4 linked regions of the Astyanax mexicanus genome follow. The protein of the gene in region 4 binds, or shares a complex with, the protein of the main gene of each other region. Links are inferred from orthologs where the notes say so. Each region holds a gene or a part of one and is shown on either strand. Other genes may lie near its edges.

Region 1 (6,842 bases), on a different chromosome or scaffold from region 4:
ACCAGGGAAATCATCACATGCTGTAATTATTCCACGTGAAGTTTAAACAGTCATATGCTAAAATTTTATCCCCTCTGGGCAAAGTACTGTACATGGAAAATAATGGATTTTATGCCAAAAAAATCTCAGCTCAAAAAACTAAATAAAAAACTTCAACTCTACAGTAGAAGGAACATTCTTCTTATCATACAATGAAAATCATGTATTAAACACCTTTGTTCCTAATAAAAAAAGTAATTTAATAATATAAGATAAGCCTTTATTAATCACACAGTGGTAATATTTGCAATGTTACAGAAGTGCAGAAAACAATTAATACTGAAGACATCAGAACTTTAAAGGAACACCTTTTAAACTTTGAAACGATTTAGTGTCGGAATTTCACATATGAAGGAATGTTAAATAAAGGTGGTTTTAATGCAACCAAAAATGTATGTTTATTTAATGTTCCTTGTATCAGGGCTGGTTTACAAGTGGAGGCCACATCTATGTTCAATACATACCAGGTGCTGGTCAACGAATTAGAATAATTTGAAATAGTGAAATCATGACATTTTTTGAATGCATTTTTTGTGCAGAAAGCAAATCAGGTGTTCACCGCACCTGTCCTACTCGTTAGACTAATCACAGAACTCGTTACCTGGAAAAAAATTTGCTCAGCTGAGCTTTCCAAAAGGCCCATTTAGGCCATTTAACTGTGACACTGTTGTTTTATTGAATTAGAATAATGGACAAACCGTTTCATTGAATTAGAATAAATGCTCGAATTTTTGTTTTCTGTGAAGAGTGTTCACTGTGCAGTATAAAGTCAGGGTTGAGTAGAATTTCTAAGTTGTAAAATCAATCATGGGTAAGCAGCGTGACCTCTCAACCGGAATAGTGGCTCAAATTCAAGCCCTTCGCCAACAAGGCTTGACCCAAACTAAAATTGCTGAGCAGCTCGGCATCAGCCAGTCTTCCGTCTGCAAAGCTCTCAAGAAAAACTGCAGCAAGCGCACCAACTGTTCCGGCGTCCGAAAAACTTCTGCTCGCGACAACAAGCAGCTGAGAAAGATCGCAGTCAGCAACCGGTTCAAGTCCACTCCCGAGCTCACCGACTTGTGGAACAAGCAGACCGGCGCTGACGTCTCCAGATCAACCACTTACCGTCGTCTGCGCGAACTCGGCTTCAAATCTCGCGTTCCAGCAGTAAAACTGATGCTGAACAAGAAACAAATGGAGAAACGGCTGAAGTGGGCCAAAGAACACGGCGAGTGGACTGCTGAAGACTGGCAGAAAGTGGTCTTCAGTGACGAATCACGCTTCTGCATCTCCTTCGGTGACCAAGGTCCTCGTGTCTGGCGTCGTGGTGGCGAAACCTACAACCACGAGTGCGTGAAAAGATCCGTCAAGTTTCCCCAGAGCGTTATGGTCTGGGGATGCATGTCCGCTCGAGGTGTAGGGAAACTCTGCTTCCTCAAGAAGACTGTCAATGCTGCCGTATATCAAGATGTTCTGGAAACGTTCCTGATTCCGACTGTTGAGGAACAGTTCGGCGAAGAAGACTTCATATTTCAACAGGATCTTGCACCGGCTCATGCGGCAAAGTCGACCAAAGATTGGTTCACTAAAAAACAGCTTGAAGTTTTGGCATGGCCGGCCAACTCGCCTGACCTCAATGTCATTGAAAACCTTTGGGCCATTGTCAAGCGGAAAATTCGCGACAGAAAGCCTACTACGCTGGACCAACTGAAGCAGAACATCGCCACTGCCTGGGAAGCTGTGAGTGCGGAAACTTGCGACAAGCTGGTCAAATCGATGCCGCGGAGACTTCAGGCAGTCATACAAGCCAAGGGGGCAGCCACAAAATACTGAGAAAGTGATGATTGTAATTATAATAAAAATTATTCTAATTCAATGAAACGGTTTGTCCATTATTCTAATTCAATAAAACAACAGTGCCACAGTTAAATGGCCTAAATGGGCCTTTTGGAAAGCTCAGCTGAGCAAATTTTTTTCCAGGTAACGAGTTCTGTGATTAGTCTATCGAGTAGGACAGGTGCGGTGAACACCTGATTTGCTTTCTGCACAAAAAATGCATTCAAAAAATTTCATGATTGCACTATTTCAAATTATTCTAATTCGTTGACCAGCACCTGTATATGGTGAATATGGTGCTGTTTTTACCTTTATTTATCTTTTATTATTTTATTATTATACAATCTATATTTTGTTGTAAAAAGGTTTTAAATAATTGTAATGCTTGTAAATGCTTTTAGGAATATAATAATCTTATCTGTATTACTTTTTAAAGCAATAGTTTGTCAGTGCATTAGCTGCTGTGCTGTGACATATGTTGATGTAAAAAGGGCTATGAAATTAATTTATTTGAAAACAGACTCAGTTTGCCAGACAGGGGTTAAGCCTAGTGTTTGATTATAGAACGTTTTAAATTTAAATGTTCTGCTAAATGCTTACTGACTCAGTTTAACACATGTTGGGGGAAACACAGCTCTACAGCCCCCTCTAGCGCCACACAGAAAAATCACGTTTTAAGACAGGACAGTGTATTTGGATAGTGAATGTGTCCTTTGTGTACATTATAATGTAAAGGGTAAAGGACACTTGCTTCTCATTATATGTGTCTACACTATATATATATATATATATATATATATATATATATATATATATATATATATATATATATATATATATATATATATATATATATATAAATAAAAACATTAAATGAGAACGAGTGACCAAATATATGAATGGTACTGTAGTATAAGTTGCATACAGTTGTACAGGTATGTGTGCTCTGTTTATTTCAATAGGGTTTATATAAGCTGAAGTGTTTTTCTTTCTTGTTATGGGTTTGTGTTTAAACCCAAAAACATTTTTTTTGACTTTTAATGATTGTTTAGAAATAATTTTTAATTTTGAGATCTGTAGCTAGAATTGTACACTGCACTCTGTGGGGGCACCAAAGCCTAAAGTGCCTTCCACTGTTACACCCACCTCCCCAAGCACAGATTCTATTATTCACGTGGGCTGAATGTTAATATATAAGTGCTTGGCCTTAATTTGGCCTCTTTTAAATAGTCTTAGACATTGATTTGAGATATTTTTTTGTAATTTTGCAGGCTGCCAATTGTTTTTACACAGTATGCCCTTTCAGAAAATCTGTAGATTACATTTTACTATTAGGGTACTTATAGTGCACTTTTAGTGCATTATTAGTGTACAGTACAAGTCAAAAGTTTGGACACACCTTCACATTCGATGTTTTTCTTTATTTAATGTATTATCTACATTGTAGATTAATATTAAAGACATGAAAACAATTAAAGGGCACGTATGGAATTATGTAGTTAATAAAAAAATTGTTTGTCCTCCACAATCCCCTCATCTAAACGTGATTAACTGAGATGGTGATTTTGGATGAGCTGCCTGGAGCTTTAGCAAATATTGTTCAGCGTCGTTAGGAACTCTTTTAACACGCTGAGAAAACAATTTCAAGTGACTCTACGTCATGAAGATACTGAGATTAAAATATTAAGAGTGTGCAGATCTGTCCTCAAAGCATTTTCTGGTTTGTTTAACACTTTTTGGTTTCCAGAATAATTCTGCATGTGTTCCTGTATAGCTTTAAATTGTCTTCAATATTACAATTTTACAAAAAAAAAAAGGTGTGTCCACATGTTAGACTGGTCATGTATTTTGTGCTAAAATGCTGTTGGTTTTGGTATTAGTCCTCGTAGCTTGTGCTTGTTCTATGGTTTCTGGCGGAGTCCCTCTTTATACCAGCAGTGGCCACACGTGGCAGGAGTCTCCCAGTCTGTAGATGTTGGTGTTTCAGAGAAGAAGAGCTCAGCCATTTTAGAAAACACAGCTCTGTGGGACAGCATGGCTGTGGATATGAGATTACCCACTGCCCGAAAACTCATCTCCCTGCCCGGCTCTCTGTCTAACGCTGAGGGTAAACACCTGGTGGTCCCGGGAGATGTGATCACATCTGATACAGGGTTTATGAGGTAAATATGCGCTTAAACAAACCTGCAGGAGGACCACAGGTCTGATCTGACTAGCCTGCTATCCCTACATTAACTAACCTAACCAGGCTAAATTAACTAATATCTGTGTTTTTGCTTCGGTGTCACTGTCTGTTCACCAGCTAAGAGTTAAGATAAGTAACGTGTGTGGCCTGTACCAGTAGCTCGACTGAGAAACACAAACATTTATTTTGTGTATGGGTTCAGTGTTGGCCCCACATATGGATGTTAGTTAGTGATGGGACCAGGCAGGAGGGGATTGGTCAGTGTAAGTTAACGTTTAGCAGTTTAATTTTCTGACCGTATCAAGCTAAATTCAAAAATACAAAATTGAGTATAAAACCTTTTTTTCCATTTAGCATAGTGAAGAAGAAATGTGTTTTGGTCAGTGTTACGTTTATTAGTTAAATTTTCTGACCGTTATAGGCTAAATGCAAAAAAATAGAAAATTGCAAGTAAGAACTCATTAATTCTTTTTTTTAAGTGTAGTGTACAAGAAATAAGTTTTCATACATTTTTCCAATGTTAGTTTTTTAATCTTTGCCCCTTACAATTATAATTTCAGGAAAAAAAAATCTTTTATTTTTAATTTTTTGCATTTTGCAAGTTGGATTATAACATCAGATTTGTGTTACATGATACAAAAATGGACAAATCTGAAAATCGAGAGAAGATTTAACTTTTTATTTTCTTGAAATTCTGTTTGCGAAAGGCTGAAATAAAAAAAAACTCAATAATTGAAAAATGGGATGCAAATCTATTTCTTTTCAGCAAATTAAATTGCTAAACGTTACACTGACCTATTTTTATCTTTTTTTTTCAATTATCTTGTTTTTGTTTTGGCTTTTTCACAACTGTACATTTTATTACAGAGAGTGTTAATAATGTAAAAATAAAAAAAATGTTAAAATCCTGTTTATTAGATGATGTGCCGCAAAAGCAAAAAAAAATCTATTCAATTGAATTATGTGCAACAAAAATTACTGTATTATGCATGAAAGATTATCTGAACAGCAGAATCTTTCTCTGCTGATGCATTTTGTCTGCCTGTTAAAATATGATTATTACTGTTTTTTGTAATACAATATTTTTATTTTTTATTTAAACAGTGTCAGTATATCACCATGCTTACTTTATTGCAATATATTAATGATATTCAGTGATATTGAATCATAACCCCTAGATCAGGCCTGGGCTTTTTAAGGCTGGGGTAGTGGGCCTTTTCATACAAAGCCCTTCACTTATTACGCATCAGTACTGCTTGGGTGGTAAAAACAATAAGAACAACAATAACCCATTTTTTAACCCCCGGTCCACTTTTTAACGCATGTGAATGCATACTTTTTTACGTAAATGTTATGTACTTAATTTCTCACTTCCTGTCTTCAGGGGTCATGGAACCTACATGGATGATGAGAAGCTCACAGCCTCAGTGGCTGGGGAGGTTGAACGTGTCAACAAGCTGATCTGTGTGAAGCCACTGAAGACACGGTCAGTGGTCTTCTGAATGCTGTGTCTAAAACATTACAATTAACATGTATAAGATTTAATATTCTTTGGGTGTTTTTTACAGGTTCAATGGTGAAGTTGGTGATGTGGTGGTTGGCAGGATAACAGAGGTACTATGTTTATGTTTAGAGTTCTCAAAATTCTTACATTCTTTCATACATTTTTAGAAGCACTGTAATTTTAAAATTAGTCATAAGCCTCATCCCTCACAGAAATAAGCAACATTCTTCTCAATCATCTTTACCTATTCTTTCACTGTAGGTTCAGCAGAAACGTTGGAAAGTGGAGACCAACTCTCGGTTGGACTCTGTATTGCTTCTGTCCTCAGTAAATCTTCCAGGAGGAGAGTTGGTGAGCTTAAATACTGATTTAATAATGTTTTTATATAAAAATATTGCATTGTTGTTTGAGTTGCGTTGAGCTGTAATAAATACTGTAAACCCTATTTATTCACAGAGGAGGCGATCAGCAGAAGATGAGCTCACCATGAGAGATTATCTTCAAGAAGGGGACCTCATCAGTGTATCCTGAAAGTAGTGATTGTTTTAAAATAGTGAAATTATGTAATTAAATAAGACTGTGTTATTTTTGATTATGTAGAAAATTTAACTTAACTTGTTCAAGGCAGAGGTACAGTCCGTCTTTTCAGATGGAGCTCTTTCGCTTCACACCCGCAGCTTGAAGTATGGCAAGGTACGAACAACAATTCTTCAGTATGATTTTATGAAACTCAACTGAGAAATATTGATTGAAAAAAATATTGATTTTATAATTTATTGTTTGCTCAAGTCAGTGTAATTGTAGGTACTGTTGAGAGCTTACTTTCATTTTGATAAAAGAAAAATGGACATTAATGCAAAGTTAAAATTTACAGCTCAGGTGCCCATTTATGAATGTAGCTTTAGCTTTTAGAAGAAGTTAATTGACAGGTATATGTTTACCTATTTAAAAAGAAGGTTTAAAATGCATCTTAATATTTGCGACAGTGATATTTCAGTTTACTTGGCCTGATTTGTGTTTTTCCATTCTTAGTTGGGACAGGGTGTACTGGTGCAAGTATCACCATCTCTTGTGAAGAGACAGAAAACCCATTTCCACAATCTGCCCTGTGGAGCTTCCATAATCCTGGGGAACAATGGCTTCCTTTGGCTGTACCCTACACCAGGGCATCAAGATGAAGAGGCAGGAGGATACTACACAAGCCTGGAGGTCAGGAGAACATGATTTTATTAATGGTTGAAAACATAATTTTTTTTCAGCATGTTTTATACTGTGTTTAGAAGTCCATCTGTGTTC
Region 2 (6,813 bases), on a different chromosome or scaffold from region 4:
TCTGAAGAGGATAAAATTCTCCTAAATAATCAAATACAAGCAATTACGCATTTACTGGTGTTTAAATTTCACACAATTTAACAACCAATATTCTTCACCGCAGTAAAAATTAAAATGTATTATAGTAGATCTAAAATGAATCTGTCACACAATCTGAATTAACTCTGAGCTGATGTTTTTGTAGCTCAGAATAGATTGTTTCCATCAATAAACGTATATTTTATTATATTAATTATGTATTGCAAACAATATTTTATCCAACCCCTAGTGCCCAACTCTTGCTGTAGTCCCACCAGAACCTGAACCAGAACCAGAACCTGAACCAGAACCTGAACCAGAACCTTGGTTAAACTGGTTCAGATAAATCAGGAAAAATAATTTCAAACTTAAATGTCACATTATAGAATATGCTTAATGATGTCACTATTGCACATGTACACATTATAATAACAGTGCTAAACAGCCGTAAGAGAAACCTGTGGTGTAAGAAAATAAGACTGTCTGAATACTTTTACATATTTTTTAAGTATTTTATTGTTACACAGCTTTTACATAAATGTAAAAACTATTTTCTAGTGATATAAAATACAAACATAATAAACCATTTTTGATTCAAACTATTTTTGATTCGGTGCATCCTCACTATTCTCACACAGAAAACTCGTATCTCCAAAACAACTTTCAGTGGAAGGGAATGTTTAAAAAAAAAAAAAAAAACATTTTATTTAAAGTTATTTGAAGCATTTCTATTGGTTCACAGTGTGAACAACAAGAATTGCTGCCGCCAGTCATGTGATGCATAAACCGGTTCCGACCCTGCAGTGTAAACAGGTTTATTATGGTATATACGAATTATTTCTCAGGGGGCGGGGCTTTTCTCTTCACGGCCCGCAGGATGGCCTGCTGCACCACCGGATACAGTTTATGGCAGCTCTCCATGCACGTGCGCACGGCGGCGCTCAGCGTGTCCGCGCGCAGCTCCCCGTCCGCGTGCAGTCCCGACACCTGGTTCAGGTTGGGCAGGAGCGCGAGCGTCACGCCGCCCCGGTTCTCTTCGTAGCCCGCGAGCCAGTTGCCCCGCTCCTCCGCGAGGTCCGGGTCCACCAGGCTCGCGCCGCCGTCCTGCCGCAGCGCGGAGCCCAGGACCACGTCGTACATCTCGATACCGGCGTCCGCGAGCGCCATGGAGGCGCAGGTCACCGCGTGCGCCAGAACCGAGCCGTCATTCTCCAGAACCATCACGTTCACCTCGATCTGCGCGCGCGGGTACCGGTGCAGGCACACGGCGGGGTGCAGGCTCTCGGAGAGCGCGAGCGACAGGTCCCGCTCCCCGCTGCCCTGGATCCACGCGCCGCGCTTCCCGCAGGAGAACGGCGCGAGCCGCAGGTCGCACAGCAGGCGGCCGCTCCGCACCCCGGCCTCGTCCCGCCGCTCCGGCTCGCGCGGCCCGTAAACCGAGCACAGGATCTTAGTGTTCCCCGCTTCCAGGTAGCTCGAGCCCTTCGCCTGGCTCACGAGACCGCAGCGCGCGAACACCGGCCGCACCTCTCCGTTCCCGCGGCCCGCGCGCGGCTCCCGGGGCTCCGCGGTCTGCGCGGCGGGGGGCAGAAACAGCAGCGGGCACTGAGACTCCTCCGGTCCGCGCACGCGCTTCGTATCTACCGGCATTCTGGCTATTACACGGGGCTCACGCGCTCCTCCACCGCGTGCGCGACTACAAACAAACCCACGCAACACCGCTCTTCTTCTTCTGGGTTTGTTTTTTGGCAGACTGCAATCTCAGCGCATTACCGCCACCTGCTGGACTGAGGTGTAATCTCACCGGGATACCGGTCAATTCTCCCGTTTTGACCGGAAAACTACCGTATTTTACCCCTCTCTCCCCCCGTCCTCCCGGATAATGTTTTCCGTAAATTTTCTGTATTATATTTAAAAAAAACAAAAAAAACATTTATATGCCCCTCCAAACTGAAATGTCACTAATCTCGCGAGATTAGTGCCGACAGCGGAAACAACCCTGAAACAACCAATCAGAGAGATGGGAAGGAGAGAAAGCATTCCTGCCAAAAAACACCACACTATGAAAATACATACTCATACATACTGTACATATATAAAATATTATTCATACTCCTTCTGACTGCAGAAAATACTATTAATCACAAAAAATAATATTCAACTAAAAAGACTGTATATTAATATATATAATAATATTATTAGACATATTATATCATTGTACTATGATATTGAACCTTGGTTGGGCTGGTATGCCCAATAATAAAATAAAATAATAAAAACATACTAAAGTCTTCTTGCAAGTGTTTTTTATAAACTCTATGATTACTTTGACTGTAGTCTCTACCACTTAAACTCTAAGTTGTTATTGTAGTTCTTTCTTATCCTCTTGAGACGTTCTCTCTCTCTTTAGAGTAATTCCTGTATGTAAACAGCGCACGCTTTACGGTTTCAGTTTATTATAGTATGAACACCGGTCTCATGTTCTCCTAATCTTATCCTGGAGTGAACTGAATTAGCTGACTGTTATTACTCTTGTTTACTGTATAAATACCTGCTTTTCTCATCCTTATCCCATTTGTCTCGCCAGATTTTATGATCCCCGTGTTTGATTATTGCTTTAATTCTAATTTGCTGGAACCTGTACTTCTGCTTGTTTTGATTTCTGAGTTTCATTTTCCACTCGTCTGTTTTCTCATTTCCCTGTGTGCTGGAGCCCAGGTGAACTGTAAATTTAAAATTTGTTGACTTATTCTATAAATCATCTGGACTGTGCGTCAGGTTAAAAAAATTAACTAAACAAACAAAAACAAACAAAAAATAATAAAAATAACAATAGTAATAATAATAACAATAATAATGATAATATTAAAAAAAACGAATCCTGTCAATTAGTCCCGCATTTTTCAAGAAACTACTCAAGTATTTCAAACAGACCTGTATTTAACTTTATTACCTTCAGACTGAACTGAGTGAGTTTTTCCTCTGGTAGTGCAGTCAGTCTCTGTGTTTTCTATGTTGTGTTTAGAACACTGATAAACACACGTCCCGTCAGTATGATTATTTATATAATATAATGCGCTGTAGAGTCCTGTGTGTTCTGTAGGCGCTTTCTATTAAATACATCCTCCACCTGCTCACTCTGTCCTGTAACCCCGCCCCTTCCAACTTCATTCTCAATACTGTAGTAATAATAATAAATGTCCTGTATTCCGTGTTCTACAGGTGTTGCCATTTTCAACTGACTGTAAATTTGTATTAAAACTACTTTTCCAGCAAATTCCAGAAATAAACAAATAAAATGACCTGTATATTATATTTATATTTTTATATTTTTACACAGTAAAAGAGAGCTGACTTGTTGGTGAGCTGATGCTGGTTTCCTCACACAGAACTAAATGTACTGTTTTAATTGATCTTAAAGCTTTTAAACTCCAGTATAATAAACTCTATTAATCTCGTAAGCAGTGCTGCACTTCTATTATCTGATCTGTTTACTTTATATTAAAATACTTAATTTTATTTTATAAAATTAAAGGAATGTCCTGGACAAGCAGTTAATTACTATGTTTTATCATTTAGCTCCATTTAGCCACATTCCACATAGCCACAATAATTTTCCAAAGCAAATCAGAATATATTTACAGTGGCTTCCAAAAGTATTCATACCCTTTAAACTTTTCCACATTTTCTCTCCTTAAATACACAAACTTGATAAACCATCATAAAGTAATGCATACATGTGAAGTGAAATGAAAATGATACATGTTTTTTTGAATGTTTTATCAAATAAAAATCTAAAAGGGTGGCGTGCAAAAGTATTCATCCCCCTATATCAATACTTAGTAGAGACACTTTTCTCTGAAGTTACAGCTTCAGGTTTTTCAGGGTTTAGTCTCTACCAGCTTTAATCATCTAGAGACTGTAGACTTTAACTGGATCATTCTAACACATGAATATTCTCTGATTCTCTGATATGCTGCAACTGCAAACAGCAATTCTTGTTTCTTTTAACAATGTTTTTCTTCTTCCACTCTTCCATAAAGATCAGATTTGTGGAGAGCAGGACTTATAGTTGTTCTGTGAACAGATTCTCCTGATCTGTGGATCTCTGCAGCTCCTCCAGAGTGATCATGGGTCTCGGCTGCTTCTCTGATCAGTGCTCTCCTTGCTGGATCTGTTAGTTTGGGTGGATGGTTGGTTCATGTCTTTGTAGGTTTGTTGAAACAGTAGTAGAATATATGTTTTTGGGAGATGTTTTTATAATCTAACTCTGCTTTAAACTTCTTCTCCAAAACTTTATCTCTGATCTGTCTGCTGAGTTCTTCCTTCTTGGTCTTCATGATGCTGTTTGTTCACTAGTGTTCACTAATAAACCACTGAGCTCTTCACAGAACAGCTGTATTTATACTGAGACTAAATTACACACAGCTGGATTATTAACTCTATTAATATTATTTATTATCTATTATTAGTTGGAGTTGGACAGTAAAGACAGTTACTCCAATAAAAGCAGGATAAACTGTGTTTAATAGTCTCGGTTTTAGAAGAGACAGGGAGTGATCACCCCTATAGTGCACTATAGTGTACACTCTGGCACGTGGTCAGTTAGTTGACGCGGGTGTGTTATAGTGTCAGGTGACCCCGGGCACGGAGCGGGCACGTGCTCACAGGTCTGGCATCTTCAAAGCGCGCGCCGGGCTCACATACCTGTGCTACATGTCTCACACAGGTGAGACATTTTAAAGTGGGTCTTAATGGAGCGCGCGCCGGGCTCGCGCCGCTTATCCATCAGACTCAGACCCGCCGTGTCAGATCTCCGTTATCTCCACGGAGGAAGAGGAGCCCCGTGCGCGCGTGCTGTCTGTCCTTCCCCGTGTGCGCGTGCTGTCCGTTCTGCTCCGTGCGCGCGTGCTGTCCGTCCTGCTCCGTGCGCGTGCGGTTTGGAGCGCGAGTCACTATGGAGGAACTGGCGCGCGAGAGCATCCGCAGCCTGAGCGTGCTGGCCAAACCCGCGCGCGGTACGGAGGCTCCGCGGCTCGGTTCGTTCGGCGCCGTGTTCATCATGCTGAAATCCGCGCTCGGAGCCGGACTGCTCAACTTCCCCTGGGCCTTTCAGAGAGCGGGGGGCATCAACCGAGCTATCACCGTGGAACTGGTAATCACACAAACACACACTATACACACTATACACACACACACACACAATCCAGACTGAACTTCTCCAATGCAGGAGACACACGCACACACACACACACACACACTATACACACTATACACACAAACACACATATATGTGCATATACACATACACAAACATAAACATAATGGGAATATTTAAATTATACCACCATTAGTACCGACCCTGCGATGTGATTGGCTAAGAGCCGTTCTATGAGTACCGTTATCAGCCGGTAATGCACTGTAACCGAAGCTCTTCATGTATTACTCCGCCACATACAGGTAACCTAGCAGCGATGCAGCGCTTACAAACCAAACAGCACAGCTACAAACAGAGCAGCAATGGAACTATTTTAACTGGTGGAGTTTTTTTTATAACCAAACAAATCCTATTATCCAATAGCAATGCAATGTTTAATATTTATAGGAAAAACAGAAACATACATGGAGTTGGGGTTGATTTATCTTTTAATGAATTTAAAGTCTTATGTTTGTAAATTCAGGATATGATAGATAAATCTTCAGATAGGAAAAGAGGATTATATTTTCTTGGTAATATAAACATTTACTGGTTGTTTTAATGTCTTGTCCAACTAAAAATAGGTGGTTTAACACATTAAAACAATGTGACATAAAACAAGCGGTAAATGTACAAACAGTCTACATGTCTTTATCATTACAGGAGAAATATATTTACAATATAATTCAGCCTCCACTGAAATTAGACCATGATGCAGATCTATAGTAGGAATCTGTTCATTACATAAAGACTGCAGGAGTGTGTGTGTGTGTGTGTGTGTATAATGTGTGTATAAAGAGTGTGTGTGTTTACTGTGTCAGACTTTCGTACTGTGGTGAGAAAGTGATGGTGTTTCTCACAGTTTACCACTAATGACTCTCTCTCTCTCTCTCTCTTTATTAGTTAAATACAATAAGCTTTATTGTCCATGTTTAATAGTGTGGCCAAAGCATTAATACAACACAAGTGAACTTTCTGAACATTAAGGAATACAGATAACCAAAATTAAATACATAAACATTAAATCAATTTAATACTGATAAACCATTTGAACAGCTTTACAAACATAAAAAACTAAAATAAATAATAATAATAATAATAGAAATAATACAGTTTTTCCACATTTTATAAACACAAAATATGAAACTATGCACACAAATCCAAAAACATGAAGCTCATGTGTCACATTGTGACTCCAAACTGCTCAACTCTAAACTCAATTCCACATGTTCTCACTCAGATATCATCATAAATCACAGCTTTACTAATCACTAAACACAAACTGCAGCATTTAGCACAGCTTCATCACCTGAGAATCACTGACCTTCAAATACATACATAATAAATACATTTCTGTTTCCTCTGTGTATGTGAACTGATTTTTCTCATCATGTTTCTTATTGTTCTTACATTAGTGAAAATTACAGTTTTACAACCGAACTACAAACAGTAAAAACAGCTCGTATTTGTGCTGCATATACATGTAGTACTGTAATGCTATATGGGGGGTCCTACCCTTTATAGAATAGACCGTTATGACAAATTGTATCAAAAGCTTTTTTAAAATCAATAAAACAAATATTTTCGTTATGATCTGT
Region 3 (7,777 bases), on a different chromosome or scaffold from region 4:
GAAACATGAGATCATTTTCACAGTTTCAAGTCCTAAAAGTAAATTATATTTTGTCATTTATTATTAAGGACCAATATTACATATTTGTGAGTGGCAAAAGTATGTGAACCTCTAGGATAAGCAGTTACTTTAAAGGTGAAATCAGGTGAGAGTGGGCAGAGCCTGTTCTATGTACAGAACTGGGATCTATTAACCTCTTGAGACCCAGTGTCCTCATATGTGGACATTACAGTTCTGCTTCTCTGCACCAAGCTTTTTTAAAACATTGACCCTTTGGCCTCATATGGAGACACTGCCCGTACCATAAAGTGGACTCAACATGACAACATTACACTAAATTGGTTGAAAACCAATCGGCGGGAAGCCCAGTCAAAGGTTTTTACAGCCATTCCAGACAGAAACATGGGCCAGGTAAAAATTATCCTCCACTTTTATGTTTGAAATTAGTTTATTCTATTTTTGTAGAAAGCTAACATTTAGCTGTTGCACTAATCTTGTCCTTCTGATCCCAAATTGAAAGGGTCTTTTTTAAATGTTAAAATTTAGCAAAAATGACTTCCTGTACAAGGACAAAGTTTAGTATTTATACTTTTTAGGTCCTAGTAATCCCAAATACCTAGGAGAAAGTAAAAAATGTCAGGCTTATGTCCAGGCCTCAGGAGGATATAGTCAGCTCTTCACATTACATGTTTGTGGAAGTGTATAGTGGTACGAACAAAGGAGATTCCTAAAGACCTCAGAAAAAGAGCTGTAGATGCTCATTAGTCTAGAAAAGTTACAAAACCACATCTAAAGAGGCTGGACTGCAGCAATCCACAGTAAAACAGATTATAGTGTACAAATGAAGGAAGTTCAAAACCATTGTTACTCTCCCCAAAAAATAGTCTACCAACAAAGACCACTCCAAGAGGTCACAAAGGACCCCAAGATAACTCCTAAGAAACCGAAGGCCTCTCTCATGTTGACTCATGTTTAACTGAATGGTGCAGATAAATTACTGCCTCATAAATGAGGAGCAAATAACACAATATGATATATCTCCTGAACCAGGAATGAACACCAATGACGTTAGTCACGCGATTTGACCAGCTCAACCAAGGTTCCTTTAATCGTGATCCAGGTGCCCCACTGTCCTGCAAATGTACTGCTTTCCCGGTTCCCTTCCCTCGACTCTTTTAGATGTGCAGTGGGTGTGTTGTATTTATTTAGCCATGTTGGGTAGTAGAAGCTGAAGCAGGAAATGTACCGTACTTTAACGTAGATGTCGATCTGGGAGCGTGGGTAGAGCTGGGTGAGGACAGCAGCCTCGAAGGTCTGTTTCAGATGGAGACTCATCTCACTGGACTTGCGGTCGCCGTGCGGCCGGCGCTTCCTCTCCGCAGTGCTGAACGTGGCCATGCTGTACTGGCAGTTGATGACGGCGCGGTCGTGCAGGGTCCTGCTGCGGGACCCTCTGACCTGTAAGTACACACTGATCAATACATGTTACATGTAGGAGACCCTACACACACATCTCACAGTTCAGTGCAGTGTCATTTAGCTTCCATTTTTTGTTGATTTTTAGTTTAATTTATAATTTTAGCACACACACTGTCTTCTACACTGCATCAAAAATCCTTGAAGAATGAATTAATAGAAAGTCTCGTAAAATACCTGAAATAAATTATTTTACATTACCAAGTGAACCTGGCTGCACTACTACAATGGGTCAAAACTGGTCAAGCTACATTAAAATTAATTGATTTAAGCTAATTCTTTATTATTATTATTATTTTAATTAGTTTCAACAGGTATATTTATTTAAAAAAAGAAAAGACAGTTCAAAGCTGTGACCAGTCTATGTAAAGACCAGTTAGCTAAATAAATGTGAAACCATAAAATGTAAAGCCAAAATATGTGAAAAGTTTTGGTAGAAAAACTTGGTTAAAAATTAAAATGTAAAGTAAATAAATGTTACATTTATTTCTAGTTACACTGGGGGTGTCTAGTAGAGCTGCAACGATTAGTTGATATAATCGACAATGTCGATTATTTATATTTGTCGACTACAAATTTCATTGTGGACTAATCTACTAAAAATTAGTACTTTCCACATTTAAACAACATTTGAATGTTTATATATCTTTTAGATCTCATACTCAGCTGTTTCTATAATTAAATATAATATATAGTTATAAAATAAGACAGAGAATGTGGCAGAAATAATCGTTGACTAATCGAAAAAATAATCATCAGATTAGTCGACTACCAAAATAATCATCAGTTGCAGCCCTACTGTCTAGTCCCTCTTAGGTATAAAGCTATAAATGTGTAATCAGAATTCCCATGTTGATGCATCCCTATAACATGTGTCTATACAAATATTAGACCGCCTTCTAAAGGTGACATGAGGGGTCCTGAGTATTAGAGGACAATAATAAAGTATACAATGAAACAGGTACAGAACTACAGTCTGTAATTATAGAACTACAAAATGCTATATATTGTATAAACAGTGGAGCTGCAAAAATGGACAGTTTTTTGTGCAGAAACAAAAAGGTGGTCATAATCTCATAATGTTATGCTTGGTTGGTGTAGGTGCACTATATCTATATGGACAGAAGTGTTGGGACTCCAGCACATTACAATTAAAGCACTATAACTGCAATTCCATCTTTAGTTATTATAATATAAAGTTTAGTACAGTACTGTTCTATTTACTCTATACCCCCTTTCCCCTGCTGTAAGTTACCCCCCCGGGCTGTAGTTACCCCTGCCCCGGGCACTCCTCACCTCGTGCGGGCCGTACACCACCGCCAGCGCCTTGGTGTTTCCCTGCTCCAGGTAGGCCGACCCGTCCGCCTGAGCGAACACCCCCATCCGGGCCTGCAGCTTCCGCAGCTCCGCCGCCCTGCGCCCGTCCAGCCGGTACCCCTGATCCGACAGCAGCTCCAGACCCGCCATGATCACTCCCGCACACACAACACGTGTTCCCGCACTACGGGTCCCCGCACAGCCCAAAACACCGACTACTGACCGCACACCGAACGCCCCCTGCCGGCCGAGCTCCCCCTTACCATATATATGTACATATATATAAAAAGTAAAAGTACATATTTAACGTAAATCAAAATTTTAACAAATGTGTACAGTTTTTAGCACATTATTTTACCAAACTATATATAAATGGCAAGTAGGCTGCACTGTCAATGTTCTCCAATTTATAAAAGATAGATATATAATATAAATATCACAATTTATGTTTAATTTAAGCTGCATACATTCTACATAAAAAAAATATAAATATGAAACAATCAAGAGAAAAACAAACAAACAAGAAATTGTATATGTATGCAACCTTGCTCATAAATATTTTCCTTAAAAAAAAAAAAAAAAAAAAAAACATCTGGGTTGCTTGCACAGTATGTTTTGGGTCATTCCAGTCAGTTTTGTTGCATTTGGCTGAATCTGAGCTAAAAATAAAAACCCTGTAACTTCAGAACTCCTCATTCTGCTTGTCTTCCGTCACACCAAAATCAATATTTGGTGGAATAACCCTGGTTTTTATTCACAGTTTTCATGCATCTTGGCATGTTCTCCTCCACTAGTCTTACACACTGCTTTTGGATAACTTTATGCTGCTTTACTCCTGGTGCAAAAATTCAAGCAGTTCAGTTTGGTTTGATGGCTTGTGATCATCCATCTTCCTCTTGATTCTTGGAAAAGATATTTTCAGAAAATTTTAATATGAATAATTATTATTCTGAGAAATAAATTAATAAAGTTTTGTCTTTAGTCATGCTGGGAAGTCAACAGTAAATCACAATGAAAACATTTTTTTTTTTTTTTTTTTATCCTTGGCTCAAACTGCATTATCCACCCAAAGTGCACATTACTGTTATTAGAACATAGAGACGTCAGAATAAAACATACCATGCAATTTTAAAAATAAAATTTATTAGCATCTCTAATGTGTATAAATAAAAACAGAGATAAGAAACAAATGCATGTACGCATTATGAGCAGAACAAGAAGAACTGAATTATGTGATACAGAGGAGCCGAGGCCGACTGAGGCCCCAGTCAGGTTTTTATAATCCTTTCTTCAGAACGTTAAGTGTGTCTGTGAGAATGTACCTCAGAAAATCAGGCTTCGCAAACCATACGAATCCCTACGAGCTGCAGCTCTACATTCTGTCAGCAGAAAGAAATGAGGACTGAGGTTCAGCAGCAGAATCAGGGGCACACTGGGGTGCAGTGGTGGGGGGCAATTAAATTGAACAGTTTTAGAGTTTAGGTTTTGGACGAACTCTAAAAAAACACAAAACCACAGGTTTTACACTGACATGCCAAAAGTCAGGGGATAGCATTATGTAAAATAATGCTTTGAAAATGCCCACAAATTAATAAATAAAAAAAAATGTCCATTCAAACAGACTTAAATTGACTCCAGCAGAAATCACATTCACATTCGATTCAGAAGACCCCACACACATATCCCACAGTTCGGAGTAGTTTTGGACAGGTCAAAAGTCATGGGAATATTATTTACCATTCCATTACACTTGGCATGTCAGTGTAAATCAATAATCACTATCCAAGAAACAAAGCACATCTCCAAAACATCGACTTAACAGAAGAAGGAAAAACTTTAGTCCTACTTTGTAATAAGTGTCTCTAATACCTGTGTGGTTACACATTAACAACCATGTAATAATAATGATAAAAGATTAATTGCAGTTGTACAGGTTATGTAATTACATGTATATCAGTGCCAGTTAGACATAGATTAATATTTTGTCCTACTGTCCTTAAATTAATCTAATTAATGATATTGGAAATGTTGGAAAACTGGTGTATTTGATGTGGTGCAGTGGATAACACCACCACCTGCCACTGAGCTACCATGTAGGAGACTGGGGTTCAATTCCAGGTCTGGGTGACTATGCTGTGCTACACCAATAAGTCCTTGGGCAAGACTCCTAACACTACATTGGTCCACCTCCAACTTCACTCCGGATAAAAGAATCCGCTAAAGGCCATAAATGTAAAACGAGTTACACATAAATAGTAATTAAATTACTAATTACCAGACAATACCTGGAGAAATATAAATATATTCACATATTCCAAACACATTATCACATGTGATAATTTACACAAATTATGACATGTAATTTCACTTGCCCTATTAAAACACAAATTGTAAAAAAATGACTATAAACACACATCCAGTTACATAACCGGTACAAATATAATAATTCTGTACCGTTTTGTGGTACAGAGTGTGTGGTTACATAGTATGATATTCCATAACTGTTAATGTGTAACTACATGTGTAATGTGTAACACTTATTATAAAGAGATGCCAAAACATTTCTTAGCTTTTAATGAAAGTCAGTGTAACAGCATTTCATTCTAACCCATTTGGCGCAATTCTATTGGTCCGTTTATCATGGAGGGTTCACACAATGTAAAGGTATACAAGAAAAAGCTGCCGGTTCCAAACAATGCAAAAAAAATAGTATATAAGATTTTGTTTTTTGGACAGTGATTTGTAGGTTTTAAACTTGTTTAGCATTTTTTTTCTCCAAATAATCAGATCTTTAAAAGTGATTAAACATTGTTTTTTTTGTGTAATACCATTAAAATGCTAGTATAAAGAACCATTCTGAGATCTGTTTTTATCCACCAAAAATGGTTCTTTGATTCATCAGGAAGCAAAAGTGGTTCTTTTATGGTATTGCACAAAAAAAGTCAGTAAAATTATTAATTTAAAACTTTAAATAAATATATTCCTAGTAATGCTGTAGTAATCCAATCAGATATTTAGATATCATGTATTCATCTTAAACCCTGTTTACACCTGGTCACATCATGTGGCGAGTATCCAACACCTACAAGTGCATTTATTACATTATTTTAAATAACTAAGTTTGAAATGTGAAACTCATATATTATATAGACGTATTACACACAGAGTGATCTATTTTAATCATTTATTTCTTGTTTTGTTGATGAGAATGTCTTACAGCCAAAGAAAACCCAAAATTCAGTATCTCAGAAAATTGGAATATTATATAAGACCAACTGGTACTTTTGGCAGTGTGCAAAGTCCTGCTGGAAAACGAAATCCAAATCTTACAGCACTGCATGGTTTCCCCTCTGCTGATGCTTTTATGGAGGTGCAGATTTTATTTTCCAGCAGGACTTGGCACACTGCCCAATAAGATCAACTGGTCTTGTATAATATTCTAATTTTCTGAGATAGAAGTGTTGGAAGTGTTTCTGAAGTGGTTTGAGTTATACGATTTGTATCTGTTTATAGTTTGCTTGTGTCCAGATATAATTCTAATATTTAAATTCTATGAAATGACCAGGTGTAAACAGTCTTTCTGTGCATTAACTTAAACAGTCTCCTTCTTTTAAAGTAAAACGAATTAGTACAATACTTATATGACTCCAATATAACAGGGTATCTCTAATTATGTTGGCTCAGTAGTGTTTGGCTTTCTAAGGCAAACATGGAAGTAGACCTGCCACGATAATCACAATTACTGACTTATCAATGTATTATTACATGGAAATTACCTCAAAACATATTGCATACTGTAATATGGTCCATTACCTTTACTTGTGTGTTTGCTGTGTTTGTTGAAGAATGAACACAAACAGAAATTGAGCCAGCTTTAACTTTTAACTTAAAATCTGGAAGATCTCCAAATCTATTAAGAATTATTAATAAATAGTTCTATTGCAATGTTATGATATAATATCCATATATCAGTGGCATATGGTAGTCTGAAAATTCCAACAATATAGTTTAGCTCAATTACTTTCAACAATATAGAACAATTAAGCATACCATTATGACCACAACTTGTTTCTACACCTATTATCCATCTTATCAGCTCCACTAATCAAACAGGACACTTTGTAGTTCTATAATAATTACAGACTGTATTTCTGTTATTTAATACTCAGAACCCACACAAAAGAAAACCACCACAGAGCAGCTATTATTATTAGTATTATTATTATTATTATTTGGGTGGTGGGTCATTATTATTCTCAGCACTGCAGTGATTAGCGCTGATTAGCATGGTGGTGGTAGTGTATGAGGCATTAGTAGTGCGTGTTGTGTTGGTACAGTGAGTAAATCAGATGCAGCAGTGCTGCTGGAGTTTTTAAACATCTCAATGCAGTCATCTTCTTGTGAACACTGATGAACCACTAGATAAAAACCAACACTGTAAACTGTGTAGCAACAGCTTCAGAGCTTCTGTCTCTGACTTTACTTTATCTAGAAGGTGGAGCAGCTGTAGGCAAGTGTGTGAACAGAATGTTTAAAAACTCAAGCAGCACTGCTGCTGTACCTGATCCACTCACTGTACCATCAGCACAACACACACTACTAACACCTCATACACCACCTTCACCATGCTAATCAGTGCTAATCACTGCAGTGCTGAGAAAAATCAATGCACAATACACAATTAATAATAGTAATAGCTGATCTGTGGTGTTTTTCTCTACTGTAGGGTCCTGCGTATTGAAGAACAGGTTAAAAAGAGGTGTATAAAGTGTCCTATATGATCATGGGAGCTGTAAAAAACCAAGAAGGTAGTCATAATTATATAATATATGTTTGATTTGTGTGTTATCATGACAGGCCTACATAACTTTTCCACCTCCCACTGCCACCCACAGCTCTATAGTTTTGGTCAGATCTGAAAATCTCCCACTGTCTGAAGTAAACCTCTTTAAAACCTGACAGCATAAAAGGAACAAATAGAATA
Region 4 (6,947 bases):
TTAATAATAATTTTGCCACCAAGTTTGACTCCAACTTTCACTGTAATCTGCTGTAATGTGTGCAATACCAAACACTTCCTGAGATTTTCATACTCAGTGAAATAAGTTCTAATGAAGAAATCCTTACAACCAAGCGGAGATGTTTACCCGTACAATAAAATAAAAAATAAAAAAAGGTTTTTATTTAAAGGTTTTTCCTCTATACAATTTGTCATACATTTTTTATTTCAGCGTCCCACGTTGACTTTATCTCCCCTCAAACATACAAGTATACAATAATTTTAATTAACACCACTAATATTAATTTAATAGCATTTTACATTTCTAACATTCATTCTTCTATTTACATTCAAATGTATATATATATATATATATATATATATATATATATATATATATATATATATATATATATATATATATTCTTTACAAATAAGGTAAATTATTGCTTTTTTAAACATTTAAATAGACATAATAGCTTTGAATTCTTATGCATATTTTTACAGAAAATGGCAAATTCATTTAAAGATTGTGTTTATCTACGCAGTACAAAAAACACCATGTTATCTGGCTTTAAGAAAACTTCTGTGTATGAAACAGACTTTGATTAGAATGCTGAATGTTGCAGGATTTAGACTGAATGCTAAGCAGAAGATTTCTGATGTATTTTTCTTGTCTTTTGTGTACAGCATTATCATCGTATTTTTAGGCTGCTGGCACTCTGCATACCTGCGTACTAATCCCAGAGAAACCTTGAAGAGAAGCCCGTCCGCTCCAAATACTCCCATCCCATTGGCCCGCCCACAGCTATCTATGCACACAAGCTCCGGCTCCATGTCTTTGTTGGCAATAGTGAACTGTGCATAAACCAGATCTCCAACCTATAAAGCACAGAAACAAACAGTCAGACAAACTAAATGAGCTGCAATAATTAAATAACAATATCTGTTATAAAAAAATATCTGTTTCTGTGGGATACATTAGTTGGATTAGGTGAGTTTGGCACAATGAAAACACATGAAAAATGTGGGCGTCCAGGACCAAGCTTAAGAAATACTAGTTTGGACTATGTTGGGCTACTGATTTTGCTATAAACACACAGTGTAAGCAGTGAAGCATGCTTTTTTCAAAAGGTACTGTACCTGCACATTGGGTCTGTTCCTCTTGGTGGCTCCTTCAAACGCTAGGTAGGACAGAGATGCCTGCTCACTGCCTCCAACATCCACTTTAAAGATGTCTCCAGACTTTGCAGTCACTATTCCAATCACACTCTCGCCCTTAACTGGAACATACTGGAGAAAATGATCAGTTAAAAGATTTAGCATGTACAGTATATACACAACAGTTATATTGTTCCAGTCAAAATTTGGACACACCTCTTCTCATTTAATGTGTTTTCATTCTTTTTACGATTTTCTTTACATTGTAAATTTAATATTGAAGACATTAAAGCTATATAGAATCACATATGTTTTAAACTTTAGATTCTTCTAAGTAGGCTCATTTTGCTTTGAGGACAGATCTGCACATTCTTGGCATTTTAATCTCAGTGTCTTCACTGAGGACGGTGTTCCTGGAGATTGGGTTGGGTTGAGGTGAGGGGATTGTTTACTGTGTAATTTCACATGTCCCTCTTAATTGTTTTCATGTATTTAATATTAATCTATGATGTATAAAATAAATATTAGAAAAATAAATATAGAAAAACATTAAATGAGAAGGTGTGTCTAAACATATGTTTTGATACTGTACTACAGTTATATATATTACAGTACAGTAAAGTAATACAGCTCTAAAAAAAAAAAAAAGAGACCACTTCAGTTGCTGAATCAATTTCTCTGATTTTGTATATGGTTAATGTTTGAGAAAAATACACACTGTTTTATTCCACAAACAACATTTCTCCCAAAATTCAAATAAAAATATTGTCATTTAGAGCATTTATTGAGAAATGAGAAATGGCTGAAACAACAACAAGATGCAGAGCTTGCAGACCTCAAATAATGCAAAGAAAACACGTTCATATTCATAAAGTTTTAAGAGTTCAGATATCAATATTTGGTGGAATAACCCTGGTTTTTATTTACAGTTTTCATGCATCTTGGCATGTATTCCTCCACCAGTCTTACACAATGCTTTCGGATAAGTTTATGCCACTACTGGTGCAAAAAAATCAAACACTTTATACATAGGTTTAACATCCATATTCCACTTGAATATATTGCAGAGGTTTTTAATCTGTTAAAATCAAAGAAACTAATAAGCAATAATTGTTAAGTGCTCTCTTATTTTCTTCCTCAGAGCTGTACGTAAGAATCTGTAGTCAGACCTTTTTTCAAAACTAAAAACCCAGCCAACTCCAGAATAGTTTTTGCTGGTAGCTGTTTTCAGATGGTCTAAGCTGGTCTTTGATGGTGAATGAGGTTAAGAGATGTTGGTCATCCAGGTTGATCAAGCTTGATCATACTGTTGACCTGACTAGTTAGCTTGTTTAGGTTGATGATGCTTGTAGTCCAGCTAAACAATCTAACTCAAATAGAATCACACCCCCATACTGATACTGATACTGGTCAGAATCGAATCTGGACAACAAGGAATTTCCGACCAGAAGCTGGGTGTGGAGCTTCGGCTGTGAAACTGAATAAATTCACATGTCAGCAGAACACACAGATAGACTGACAGCATGTGTGTGAGCTGGGGTTTGTTAAGGTTACCCTCTTCTGCTGGGAGTCTATCCAGTACAAGTTGGGGGCTTTATGGCGGAGAATCCCACTTTTGTACACCAGGATTTCGTCCCCGTTCCTCCGCAGCCCCGGACCGCAGATCACCCGCTCCGCCCGCACAGCGCTGCCCTCCACCGCGGACACGTCGAAGCAGAACACGTCCCCAGGTAAGATCACCTGCCCTAGCTTCTCTCTGAAACAGGAGTAAACCGCCTCCATACTCACACAGGGCTCCTGCACATGTGCGAGTACTGACAACACCACACACACTCTTCCGGTACAGCGCAGGAAACAGCATTACAATATAAAAGTCCCCCTCAGACAACACACACAGCCCCCTCTGTTCACTGTAAAAAAAATACTGTAGTTCTTAAAAATGTCATAAATCCAATAATTTTTGTTTGAATCACACTTTTTTCTGTTTGTCTGTTTAGGTTTGTTGTTTGTTTGTGTTTTTGTTTTGATGTGTTTGTGATGTTGATTGTATATGCTGTGAATTTGACCTATTATTATTGCATGCTCTTGGATTGTATTGTATAGTTTTTTTTTTGTTTTAAATATAAATAAGATTTTTTTTAGAAAATAATGCACAGCTCTGGAACAAATGAGACCACTTAAAAATGTAGTTACTTTGATTTTACTAAATTGAAAACCTCAATGTAATCAAGATAACAAGCCATCATACCAAGCTTAAGTTATCCAAAAGCAGTGTGTAAGACTGGGGGAGGAGTGCATGCGAAGATGCATGAAAACTGTGATTAAAAACCATTTTTTAATATATATTTTTTGGTTTCAAATACAATTAAGATTTTTTTGTATATTATGTACAGCTCTGGAAAACATAAGAAACCACTTAAAAATACGAGTTTCTTTGATTTTAGCAAATTGAAAACCTCTGGAATATAATCAAAAGGAAGATGGATGATCACAAGCCATTAAACCAAGCTGAACTTCTTGCATTTTCGCACCAGGAGTGGAACAAAGTTATCCAAAAGCAGTGTGTAAGACTGGTGGAGGAGTGCATGCGAAGATGCATGAAAACCGTAATTAAAAAACAGGTTTATTCCAGCAAATATTAAAACTTTATGAATATGATTTTTTTTATTTGCATTATTTGAGGTGTGAAAGTTCTGCATCTTTTTTTTTTTTTTTGTTATTTCAGCCATTTCTCATTTTCTGCAAATAAATGCTCTAAATGACAATATTTTTATTTGGAATTTGGGAGGAATTGTGTTTCTAGAATAAAACAACAATGTTCATTTTGCTCAAACATATACCTATAAATAGCTAAATCAGAGAAACTGATTCTGAAAATGAAGTGGTCTCTTCATTTTTTCCTGAGCTGTATAATGGTGTTACACAAATATCCTTAAATATAGCCCGATCAAAAGTTTCAGGACATCCCTGACCGAGTAATACACAACAAGAAACAACTCACCAGGGTATTGGACGGTTGTCGGTTGATTTTAGCCAATCACTGTAAAGTAGGCGGGACTTGTCGGAATATAGGTGGGGATACAACTAGAAAACTACAAAGCTGCAGTTCCTTGTTCAGGTGTTTCCTGTCTTTTTTAACTCTGTTTCTCACTGTGCTGTGTTGTGTAATATCAGAGCAGTGAGCACCAACAGCTCATCTAGCTGCAGGTTTAGCCCTGGACCATGGGTTTCTTTACAGCCGGGGGATGATTATGAAGGTTACGTTAATTTAGTTAGCTAGTTGTAACTAGCCGGCTAGCATTTCTGAACTAGCATATCTGTAGCAGCTGAGCTGAGCTAGCCCGGTGTGTTCAGTGCGTTTAGATGGATGCCGCTCTGTCAGAGGGTGCAGAAGATCCTGACACGTATAAGAAACATCATAAACACCCCATGGATCCAGAGGTCTCTGTGATGCTGCACTGTGCTCCCTCTCAGGGTCTGGAAGAACATCAGATCCGAGCAGAGATATCGACCAGGTACCCCTTCTGTATTCCTGCTCAGTAGATAACTCAGCATTTCTCACACACCACACAAATCTCACAGCTCAACACCTATTACTAACAAGGGCCAATATTCAGTGTAATGTGCTTTAATCTCAAAATAACAAGGTAGTATCTGACAATTATGACTTACTACCTCAAAACAATGCGCATCTCAAAATAAGGACTTACTATCTCAAAGTTACAAGGTAGTATCTGACAATTATGACATATTGCCTCAAAAGAATGAGCATCTCAAAATAAGGACTTAGTATCTCCAAATAAACAAGTAAGTATCTGACAATTATATGATGTACTACCTCAAAATAATGGGCATCTAAAAATAAGGACGTAGTATCTCAAAATAAACAAGGAAGTATATGACAATTATGACTTACTATCTCAAAATAAACAAGGAAGTATATGACAATTATGACTTACTATCTCAAAATAATGAGCATCTAAAAATAAGGACATAGTATATCAAAATAAACAAGGAAGTATCTGACGATTATGATGTACTACCTCAAAACAATGCACATCTCAAAATAAGGACTTACTATCTCAAAGTTACAAGGTAGTATCTGACAATTATGACATATTGCCTCAAAAGAATGAGCATCTAAAAATAAGGACTTACTATCTCAAAAGAAACAAGGAAGTATCTGACACTTATGACTTGCTATCTCAAAATAATGAGCATCTCAAAATAAGGACTAAGTATCTCAAAATTACAAGGTAGTATCTGACAATTATGACATATTGCCTCAAAAGAATGAGCATCTAAAAATAAGGACTTACTATCTCAAAATAAACAAGGTAGTATCTGACAATTATGACTTACTATCTCAAAATAATGAGCATCTAAAAATAAGGACTTACTATCTCAAAATAAACAAGGTAGTATCTGACAATTATGACTTACTATCTCAAAATAATGAGCATCTAAAAATAAGGACTTACTATCTCAAAATAAACAAGGAAGTATCTGACGATTATGATGTACTACCTCAAAGCAATGAGCATCTAAAAATAAGGACTTACTATCTCAAAATAAACAAGGAAGTATCTGACGATTATGATGTACTACCTCAAAGCAATGAGCATCTAAAAATAAGGACTTACTATCTCAAAATAAACAAGGTAGTATCTGACAATTATGACTTGCTATCTCAAAATAATGAGCATCTCAAAATAAGGACTTAGTATCTCAAAATTACAAGGTAGTATCTGACAATTATGACATATTGCCTCAAAATAATGAGCATCTCAAAATAAGGACTTACTATCTCAAAGTTGCAAGGTAGTATCTGACAATTATGACTTGCTATCTCAAAATAATGAGCATCTAAAAATAAGGACTTACTATCTCAAAATAAACAAGGAAGTATCTGACGATTATGATGTACTACCTCAAAGCAATGAGCATCTAAAAATAAGGACTTACTATCTCAAAATAAACAAGGTAGTATCTGACAATTATGACTTGCTATCTCAAAATAATGAGCATCTCAAAATAAGGACTAAGTATCTCAAAATTACAAGGTAGTATCTGACAATTATGACATATTGCCTCAAAAGAATGAGCATCTAAAAATAAGGACTTACTATCTCAAAATAAACAAGGTAGTATCTGACAATTATGACTTACTATCTCAAAATAATGAGCATCTAAAAATAAGGACTTACTATCTCAAAATAAACAAGGTAGTATCTGACAATTATGACTTACTATCTCAAAATAATGAGCATCTAAAAATAAGGACTTACTATCTCAAAATAAACAAGGAAGTATCTGACGATTATGATGTACTACCTCAAAGCAATGAGCATCTAAAAATAAGGACTTACTATCTCAAAATTACAAGGTAGTATCTGACAATTATGACATATTGCCTCAAAATAATGAGCATCTCAAAATAAGGACTTACTATCTCAAAGTTACAAGGTAGTATCTGACAATTATGACTTGCTATCTCAAAATAATGAGCATCTAAAAATAAGGACTTACTATCTCAAAATAAACAAGGTAGTATCTGACAATTATGACTTACTATCTCAAAATAATGAGCATCTAAAAATAAGGACTTACTATCTCAAAATAAACAAGGAAGTATCTGACGATTATGATGTACTACCTCAAAGCAATGAGCATCTAAAAATAAGGACTTAGTATCTCAAAATTACAAGGTAGTATCTGACAATTATGACATATTGCCTCAAAATAATGAGCATCTCAAAATAAGGACTTACTATCTCAAAATAAACA

The links.
Region 1: exosome complex component RRP40 (region 4) and exosc2 share a complex: the UniProt entries of both Homo sapiens proteins name them as parts of the RNA exosome core complex. The link is inferred for Astyanax mexicanus from reciprocal best matches to the Homo sapiens genes EXOSC3 and EXOSC2.
Region 2: exosome complex component RRP40 (region 4) and exosc6 share a complex: the UniProt entries of both Homo sapiens proteins name them as parts of the RNA exosome core complex. The link is inferred for Astyanax mexicanus from reciprocal best matches to the Homo sapiens genes EXOSC3 and EXOSC6.
Region 3: exosome complex component RRP40 (region 4) and exosc4 share a complex: the UniProt entries of both Homo sapiens proteins name them as parts of the RNA exosome core complex. The link is inferred for Astyanax mexicanus from reciprocal best matches to the Homo sapiens genes EXOSC3 and EXOSC4.

The regions. Positions count from the first base shown.
Region 1 is NC_064408.1:20,987,630-20,994,471, reverse strand, and holds the start of exosc2 (exosome complex component RRP4), read left to right. Parts: upstream 1-3,825; 5' UTR 3,826-3,891; coding exon 3,892-4,019; intron 4,020-5,426; coding exon 5,427-5,528; intron 5,529-5,610; coding exon 5,611-5,656; intron 5,657-5,807; coding exon 5,808-5,897; intron 5,898-6,002; coding exon 6,003-6,068; intron 6,069-6,170; coding exon 6,171-6,239; intron 6,240-6,578; coding exon 6,579-6,755; intron 6,756-6,842. UniProt on the Homo sapiens protein: Non-catalytic component of the RNA exosome complex which has 3'->5' exoribonuclease activity and participates in a multitude of cellular RNA processing and degradation events.
Region 2 is NW_026040053.1:743,254-750,066, reverse strand, and holds exosc6 (exosome complex component MTR3), read right to left. Parts: upstream 1,924-6,813; 5' UTR 1,669-1,923; coding exon 853-1,668; 3' UTR 517-852; downstream 1-516. Other genes in the region: slc38a8b (putative sodium-coupled neutral amino acid transporter 8), read left to right, coding at 4,976-5,173. UniProt on the Homo sapiens protein: Non-catalytic component of the RNA exosome complex which has 3'->5' exoribonuclease activity and participates in a multitude of cellular RNA processing and degradation events.
Region 3 is NC_064415.1:9,898,935-9,906,711, forward strand, and holds the start of exosc4 (exosome complex component RRP41), read right to left. Parts: upstream 3,004-7,777; 5' UTR 2,944-3,003; coding exon 2,773-2,943; intron 1,459-2,772; coding exon 1,252-1,458; intron 1-1,251. UniProt on the Homo sapiens protein: Non-catalytic component of the RNA exosome complex which has 3'->5' exoribonuclease activity and participates in a multitude of cellular RNA processing and degradation events.
Region 4 is NC_064409.1:67,969,511-67,976,457, forward strand, and holds the start of exosome complex component RRP40, read right to left. Parts: upstream 3,007-6,947; 5' UTR 2,943-3,006; coding exon 2,715-2,942; intron 1,293-2,714; coding exon 1,143-1,292; intron 882-1,142; coding exon 730-881; intron 1-729. Other genes in the region: uridine diphosphate glucose pyrophosphatase NUDT22, read left to right, coding at 4,524-4,675. UniProt on the Homo sapiens protein: Non-catalytic component of the RNA exosome complex which has 3'->5' exoribonuclease activity and participates in a multitude of cellular RNA processing and degradation events.